2 linked regions of the Arabidopsis thaliana genome follow. The protein of the gene in region 1 interacts with the protein of each later gene in a biochemical or structural test. Each region holds a gene or a part of one and is shown in the gene's direction. Other genes may lie near its edges.

Evidence for each region.
Region 2: the proteins of CBL6 (region 1) and SR1 form a complex in vitro, tested with the Arabidopsis thaliana proteins (one study listed by BioGRID).

The regions. Positions count from the first base shown.
Region 1 is NC_003075.7:9,241,548-9,246,019, reverse strand, and holds CBL6 (calcineurin B-like protein 6), read left to right. Parts: upstream 1-2,107; 5' UTR 2,108-2,144; intron 2,145-2,323; 5' UTR 2,324-2,350; coding exon 2,351-2,468; intron 2,469-2,547; coding exon 2,548-2,618; intron 2,619-2,702; coding exon 2,703-2,762; intron 2,763-2,833; coding exon 2,834-2,942; intron 2,943-3,023; coding exon 3,024-3,157; intron 3,158-3,248; coding exon 3,249-3,361; intron 3,362-3,439; coding exon 3,440-3,515; 3' UTR 3,516-3,721; downstream 3,722-4,472. UniProt on the Arabidopsis thaliana protein: Acts as a calcium sensor. CBL proteins interact with CIPK serine-threonine protein kinases. Binding of a CBL protein to the regulatory NAF domain of a CIPK protein lead to the activation of the kinase in a calcium-dependent manner.
Region 2 is NC_003076.8:312,381-317,096, reverse strand, and holds SR1 (serine/threonine protein kinase 1), read left to right. Parts: upstream 1-1,691; 5' UTR 1,692-2,345; coding exon 2,346-3,674; 3' UTR 3,675-3,907; downstream 3,908-4,716. UniProt on the Arabidopsis thaliana protein: CIPK serine-threonine protein kinases interact with CBL proteins. Binding of a CBL protein to the regulatory NAF domain of CIPK protein lead to the activation of the kinase in a calcium-dependent manner.

The DNA.
Region 1 (4,472 bases):
CCTCCACAGCAATCTCCTTGCCTCCATGACACCAAGTGATCATCGTAGGGATTCCTTGTTCGTTAGAAGCTTCTTCATACAACGAAGATGGCGATTGCATCCACGAAGGATTAGGGATATGAATTTCATCAGGTCTTTGAAGTGGAAGCACCGGAACCTAAAAAAAGACACAAACTTTAAAAGCTACAGATCTCTCTCTTTCATCACATCCTCCAGATTAAGACATCGAATCTGAAACCAAAACAAAAACCTGAGGAGCAAACATGAGAGGAGACTGAGTAGCTCGAGGGCTATGAGGAGGAGATTGACCCATAAGCTCAGGAGGAGCGACATGGTTACCATCAGAAGCAGCAGACATAGCTTCACGAGAACAAATCTCAGCGTCTTCGTCTTCAACAGCAGAAGCGTTGTTACTATTTCGGTTTTCTTTTGGCGTTCACGTTACCCATATCACACAAACAAAAGCGATAAAATCTAATCTCAATCTCTTCCTTATTAAAAACTCTTTTTTTTTACCGCAATCTGAGAAAAAAGAGGAAACTTCTCACCAGATCTCACCACAAATTCATCACTTACACAACATACTCGATTACAAGGACATGCCCGGGTTTAAAGATTGGTGCTTTTTCCCGTAGAAATTGATCAAAAAGAGTAGTAGGGACGGAGAAATTGAGGGCAAATTTATAAAAAGCCTTCCTGAGAGATCAGAAACTACAAACAAAAAAAGCAGGAAAGAGAAAACGAAAAAAAAAGGACCAATCTTTGATTCAACTGAAGCAAGACTCTCTACTCTCACACAAATTTCTTGCTGTTGTTGTTTGTCATAGCATCAATTGTTGTTGTTCCCATACCACTCTCCATCTTCCCCCACTCACATTTTCTGCTCTCTCTTTACTTTCATCTCTTTGTTTTTTCTTTATTGCATTTATTACCCTATAGTTTGATTTGGTTGAATTTACCCCCCAACACCCCACATTTGGTCTCAGTCTAATCAGTGGTAGGCACATCAATGGTCATCATTCTCACCAATTATTAGATAGATGTTGTATTCAATTCATTAACTCACTCGTTTGGTAATGCTCTATGTTTCAAAAGATGTAAACTTTGAAGTGGCCAGATTTATGTTTTTGTGGTCAATGTCTTTCTTTTCCCACCAGTTGAGTTTATGGCTATATCAAGTTTTCTGTTTTGGTTGATATTTGTTTTCCACCACTCAACTATTCCTCATAGATGATGGAAACATATAACAACCAAGATAAGAGATAGAGATAGAGAAGGAAATAATCCTTGAGTACATATAGAGAGAGCCTAGCCTAGTTAGTTAATATCTGTGATTCAGAGTGGAAGTGAGATTGTGATGGTCTTGCAGTATAAGCCTGTGCTGACTTGGGAACACTTATTTCAAACTAATCCCAACAAAACAAACAATAAAATTTACATCATAAAGTTGAATGGTATGTTGTTTGGTATATAAAAAAAGAGGAAGCAAATTTAACATCTTTACCATTCACTTTTGATTGGTTCGTCTTCAGAATCCAGAGACTTTTGTTGGTTTGGCCGTATCAACTAGAAAAATTGAACCTCTTATATGCGAGAAGTCGCTTGTGTTCTTGGAACCAACATTTATCTTTTGTCTCGTCAGGTTTACAAAGCGCTTCTTGGAAGCTGACTCAACAGCTTGCTGTTAAATAATTACAAAGGACCTGTGAGGAGGAAGAGGTCAAAAAGAAGAAACAGAGAAGATCAACAAAGTTTGACATTGAAAAACATAGATAGTTGGTGGTCAGAAGGGCTGGATTCATTCTTTGCCAAAGCGTATCAACTTCACCTTCAGGCTTGTTTTGTGAATGTTATTCCCTAAAACAGACTTTTTTTGGTCTTCTGAATCTTGTTAGTTATGATGAATGAATCATAGTATCTTCCTTTTTCTCTCTCTCTCGAAATGTCAACTTGTTAGAGTGGTCACCAACTAAGAGTTGACTTATTTACGCCAACGAACTTGTAGATCCTTTCCCATGTCTCTGTAGCCAACAAAAACTTTTATGGAGAGAGAGAAATATCAGATCGTGGTCAAAAAAATAAACACTCTTGGAACAAGTCGTGATCTGAAGCTTCTTTACACGCTAACGAGAAAAAAAGAATAGGTATATTGCTTTGGTTCATCTTCTTCTCTTCTCTCAAAAAAGTCAAGACTAGATTCATTTGATGTCTCCATTGGATCGGCAAATTTATGTTCGATTCTTGATTTTTTTTCTTGATGCCATATGTTTAGAGGGTTTCTGTTGACATTCAATGGATTTAACCTTTTTTCTGTTTGTGGTAGGCATGGACATAGTGACTTTTGGGAGAGATGATGATGCAATGTTTAGATGGATTAAAGCACTTAGCCTTAATTCTGTTGACTTGTTGTGATGCTGATCCTCCCAAGGTTCGTCAGAACCCTAAGGATGTGGCTAGAGGCACTGTGTGTATGTGTCTACCCCTACATTTACTTTTACTATTTTTATTTGTCACAACCCCAACAATGGCTTTATGTACCAAATGCAGTTACAGTGAATGAGATTGAAGCTCTTTACGAACTGTTCAAGAGCATTAGCAAAAACGGGCTTATCGACAAGGTATGCAAGAATCCATAGTCGGACACGAGTACTATATCTCTCTGTTCCTCTACATTCACTAGGATCCTTTCAAATATATTGCAGGAACAATTTCAATTGGTACTATTCAAAATGAACACAACGAGAAGCCTTTTTGCTGATAGGGTAAATTAGATAGACTTGTAACTCACTTATATGAGTTTCCTTGCTGTACACTCATACTTCAAGCTTTGCAGGTGTTTGACTTGTTTGATACCAAGAATACTGGGATTCTAGATTTTGAAGCCTTTGCTCGTTCACTTTCGGTCTTTCACCCTAATGCTAAATTTGAGGATAAGATTGAGTGTAAGTGGTCGAGAGAGACTTGACCTTCTTTTTTTTTGTCATATCCAAACCTTGGATCAAGCTCATCTTTTGTCTCTGCAGTCTCTTTCAAGCTGTATGATCTGAATCAGCAAGGTTATATAAAGAGACAGGAGGTGAAGCAAATGGTTGTGCGGACTCTAGCTGAATCTGGCATGAACCTTTCTGATCATGTGATTGAGAGCATCATAGACAAGGTGGGTTTGGTTGATCTCCTCCATTGACACTAACTAGGATTCTCATATTTAATCTTTGACAAGAGATGTAAAAACTGATTGGTGTGTGTAGACATTTGAAGAAGCTGATACTAAACTGGACGGGAAGATTGATAAGGAAGAGTGGAGGAGTCTTGTGTTGCGCCACCCCTCTCTGTTACAGAACATGAGCCTTCAACATCTCAAGTAAGCTAGCCATGTTATTTGCCTTATTATCTTCTTCGTGCGGGACTAACATGTTTTTGTATGTTGTGTTTTGTGTAGAGACGTAACAAAGACGTTTCCAAATTTTGTATTTCACACTATAGTGACAGACACTCCTAGTGAGCTGGATGGATGATCAGGGATGTGAAGAAAGACCAAAACCCTTTACAAGATCATTCATACTTGATTCTTATCTTCTTCTCCATTACTCTATTACAACCCTCCTCTTTATTTTTAATAAATACGTTCTGAAAGCAGCATTACCTCACATGTTTGTGTATCCGCAAACTTGTTCGGTTTATCTTATCTGTTGGAGTGTGCAAATTGATTCTTTTACTCGGCATTAGTTTTATTTTGTTGCTTCTTCTTTCTTTCTATCTAAATTTGTTAGTTGGAGTAAAATCCGGACAACCATATTTTACAGGGAACCCAAATGGCGAGATAGTTTTAACATGAGAAAGGAAAGATTCATGTGAATGAGAAACTGGTTAACTTGAATCTCATAGATCATTGTATACTTGGACATTTTCCCAAGATTAGAACAAACAATACTAGATCTCTCGAAAATATCTTCATCACAGTTGCAAAGAGCCGTGGAGAACCCAACTCTTGAGCTCAAAATTGTATCAGCTAGTGACGTCAACCATATCGAATATGTCACGGACAAAATGGACGTATACGCCGTCGTTTCAATCAAAGACAACACAACTCAACAGCAACAAGCGGCCAAAACTCCCATTGATATATAACGGAGGTTCTAATCCGACTTGGAATCACACACCGTTAAGTTCTCCGTCAACGAGAGAGAAGCCACGAAGCCCAATAATTATGTTAACCAGTGTAACGTTTTTTCACCCACTTAATTTTTTGGCTGGGTCTGCCTAACATTCTAGGCACAAGTTAAAGAGGTGATCAATTTTTAGAAATTATAACCCTAATGCTAACATGAATGATATATAAAAAGGCCGCAATGGTAGACTATAATGGCAACAACTCTGAAACAATGGCTAAAGATTGGGATTCACCGATTCATAGATACCAAAGGTAACTATGAACTCGTTTACGGTTTATCTCAACATGAATCCGTAGAAAC
Region 2 (4,716 bases), on another chromosome or scaffold:
GTTATTTATGGTCATATATATTATATCGTTAAATTTTGTCGTAAAAATGGGTTATATGGTCACATTAATCTTGCATGGGACCAAAAGTAACAAGCTAAATTAATAATGTATTCTTTTATTTTGTTTGTCAACAATTAATAATGTATTCAAAATCAGTAGATATTTTGATTGGAGCAACCTTTCGAACCAACGAAAGAAAAGGGGCAATTATATAACCATCCATTTTTATTGACAGAACCTTGATTTCGTAATTATTTAACGAGCTTCTTTCCTTCCTCCTTCTCTTTTTCCCCAACGAAAGAAGCTTCCATGAAACAGCATCAGAAAAAATCAAAATTAAAAACAAATGAAATCTTTCGTACATCACATTATTAACGCGGTAATTTATTTTTATTTTATTCCCGTACATGTCTTTTAATGGATTTATATATATTAAAAAAGATGTTGATTTGGTTTTATGTGAATACTGTAGTACTAATTTATGCCTACCAAAAAAAAATAGTACTAATTTATGTGTGGCTTGGATTTATATATATGTACAAATGGGCACAGCGTGACAGCGAAAATAGTAACGTACGATTTATCTAATCTTTAAAACGTTGTGTGTTTTGGATAAATTACAAAAATAATTAAAATTGATTTTATATTTTGTTGTACGCTGCGGTGGGTAGATCACGTCGTAGATTTACTATAAAAATTGACACTGCAAAATTTATCCTCTTTTTTTTGGTATTAAACTTTAACCAAAACTTCACAAGATTATAAAAGCCTTGCACTCTAACAATGCAATGCGATGATTTCTAAGTCGTCAAATGTTTAAGTCTGAGGAATTGGGACATAATTAGTGTGATTGTGGGTAGTGATCATACATGGAACTAATACATCTTTATAAAATTATACTGACTTTCCAACTTAGCTAAGTAAGAAAATAGTAACTATTAAAAAAAAACAATGAGATAATGTTAAATATTAATCAAATTTGTTTTTCTTTTTTATTTTGGGCAAAAGTTATTTTTTCAAGCGCACTGTTTGTACTTTATAATGTGAAACATATATTGAAAATAATCAATTGAAATCTTAAATGTAGTCATATTTCTTTTTTTCAAAAAGCATCAAATAGATCAATTTGCCCATAAGACTCGATTTATTTTTCCACGAATATGGGAAAAAACAACTGGAGATTTTTAAAAAGGAATGACATATGTTTTCCAAATGTATTAACTAATGATTCCAACATAAGCAAATATATTTTCTAAAAATAGTGAAATAAACAACTGTGAAATGTATACAAAAAGCATGAAATATATTTTCCCAAGTATTGTTTAAATTTGATAAATAATTCAAGTTATTTGGAACAGTGATGGAGTGGAAAAATAAACATAAGAATCATAATTAAAAATGAACGTAGAGTTTAGATAGTGATTTGAAAAGATTAAGGAAGATTAGGAAATGACACTAGTTATAGGACGATTCCAACCTTGAGCAGTGGGGCGGGAGTTGTAGTAACCTGTCAACCGCAATATATAGCCTGGTGCTCAAAATGAGACTTGAACTAATACTAATAAGGGGAATTTGGATGTTCAAAGGACTTAACCACGATTGATGACTAAACAAAGCAGTGGTTAGCTGAATTACTAACTAACTAGAGCTAGCTGCCTAGGCTAGTCGAAAGAACAATTCTCCGTTTTGAGTTGACCATAAAATAATAATATTCAACAATATTGGAGGAAACATGTTTATATGTTCTTGTAATAATAATATTATAGCAAATAGCCGAAGATACGACGAAGCGTATATGTGTGAAATGAGTATATTCTACAGCCTAAACCCTCGGAGATACCAAATCAACACGACAACAGCGACGGGACACCTGTATGGTTCTAATTCAACTTCTTGTCCACATCTTCATCTTCTTCTTCTTCTTTTTTTAATAGATATATTAAGAAAACAAAACAGAAAATCTCCCACGTCTTTACAAAGAAAATAAAGAAGAAGAAAATAAGGAAAAAGAATCTGATAGTAATTGACAAAAATACCCTCATCTCCTACCTCAAGACAGTAATATATATGTAACAACTCGATACAGAGCATGGCTTATCTCTTATCCGAATCCTCCCAATTTGTCTGTCTCTCTTTTGTTTTCTCTGCTAACAGATCTCTCTAAATATCTGTTACTTTTGTTCATATCTTTTTACTTTTCAAACTACTAATTTTCCTTTCGCTTCTTCTATTAATAACAACACTCTCTCTCTCAGACTTCTTTTCTTTTTTTTCTACGGCGTTGATTCATTCGCAATGACCTCAGTTTCTGTGTACCATAATTGACCTAGCAGATTCTGTTTTTAATGGTAGATTCTGACCCGGTGGAATTTCCGCCGGAGAACCGCCGTGGACAGCTCTTCGGCAAATACGAGGTCGGAAAATTGGTGGGATGCGGCGCCTTCGCGAAAGTGTACCACGGGAGGAGCACAGCGACGGGTCAGAGCGTTGCGATCAAAGTGGTGAGCAAGCAACGGCTGCAGAAAGGAGGACTCAATGGCAACATTCAGAGAGAGATCGCTATCATGCACCGTCTGCGCCACCCTTCTATCGTGCGCCTGTTCGAGGTCCTCGCCACCAAATCCAAGATCTTCTTCGTCATGGAATTCGCCAAGGGCGGTGAGCTATTCGCCAAAGTCTCCAAGGGCAGGTTCTGCGAGGATCTTAGCCGTCGTTATTTCCAGCAGCTCATCTCCGCCGTCGGATATTGCCACTCCCGCGGCATCTTTCACCGTGATCTCAAACCGGAGAATCTCCTCCTCGACGAGAAGCTCGATTTGAAGATCTCTGATTTCGGACTCAGCGCTCTTACCGATCAGATCCGACCCGACGGCCTCCTCCACACACTCTGTGGTACGCCGGCGTACGTGGCGCCTGAGGTTTTGGCGAAGAAAGGGTACGACGGTGCTAAAATCGACATATGGTCATGTGGAATCATACTGTTCGTCCTCAACGCCGGTTATCTCCCTTTCAACGACCATAATCTCATGGTTATGTACCGGAAAATCTACAAGGGAGAATTTCGCATTCCCAAGTGGACCTCACCGGATCTCCGGCGACTGCTGACTCGGCTTTTAGACACGAATCCGCAGACGAGGATCACTATCGAAGAGATCATCCACGATCCATGGTTCAAACAGGGCTACGACGATCGGATGTCTAAATTCCATCTAGAGGACTCCGATATGAAACTCCCGGCGGACGAGACCGACAGCGAGATGGGAGCAAGGAGGATGAACGCATTCGACATCATCTCAGGATCTCCAGGGTTCAATCTCTCCGGTCTTTTCGGAGACGCCAGAAAGTACGACCGAGTGGAACGGTTCGTGTCGGCGTGGACGGCGGAGAGGGTGGTGGAGAGGCTGGAGGAGATCGTGTCGGCGGAGAATCTGACGGTGGCGAAGAAGGAAACATGGGGGATGAAGATCGAGGGGCAAAAAGGTAACTTCGCAATGGTGGTTGAGATAAACCAGCTAACGGACGAGCTGGTTATGATAGAGGTGAGGAAGAGACAAAGAGCCGCTGCATCTGGACGAGATTTATGGACAGATACACTCAGGCCTTTCTTCGTCGAGCTTGTGCACGAATCAGACCAAACGGACCCAGAACCAACTCAAGTACATACGACGTCGTAGTTTAGGTATCTGTCAAATAAATTATCCAAATAATAATTAAAAAAAAATATCCCGGGTTATATGTAATTGCTTTTTTTTTTACCCGGAGAATATCTCTGACATAATTATTCAGGAAATTTCTCGACAAATCTTAATTTTTAGTTGGCAAGTATGTATCTTCTTGTTATGTAATCATAATTATATTTTATATAAATGAAAAATAAAATATAAAAAAATGTATTACTTGTTTTAAATGGCCACTATAATACATTAGTAACGTATCGTGGATGTGAAGTAATGCTATGTGTACAAGACACTCTAACTTAACCATTACTTAAGGATTAGTTAACTATTCAACATGATATTTAACATACATATAGATGTAATTTTTAACAACTCATAAAACACAGTCTTCTTCTGCTATTAATTTTGTCATTATGTAAAAAGAAGTGTCAAGATTTGAGCCATGAACTAACACAACTGATCTACTTTCACCTTTTTGATAAGTAAGAGGTTGTCCTTATCACATCATTGTAAAAATATACTATTAAAATAGATATATAGCTAGTGGACTTTATATAATCCTATCGCATGTGGCTGTGATATAAGATCATACACCAATAATTCTCATCAATCATTTTCTTTTCTTGGTATCCACATTGAATCCAATCATCCATAATCCATTAATTTCAGCTTCAGCAGTTATAATTACTGTAATCAACATATATATCACCTTTTCAATGCAATAATTGTAGGCTCCACGATCTATATATTATCCAATTTACTATATACACAATCACATCGTACACTTTTAAAGCACTTAATATGCTTTAATTAATTCCTTAATTGTGGTTATATGTAACTAATTATCCTGTTGAGCATAAAAGGAAAAGTAGGAAACACACAAATGCAAAAATCTGACGAGCACGTTATGTTGGTTAGATTACGAAAAGACAAGAGTCTTAAATTGGGTGGTTTCCTTGGTTCTCCTTCAATCCAATTTGTAGTTGTTGGCCCACTAAAAGATAGCGGATTAAGCAAAACCCTTAGAAAAATATACTCT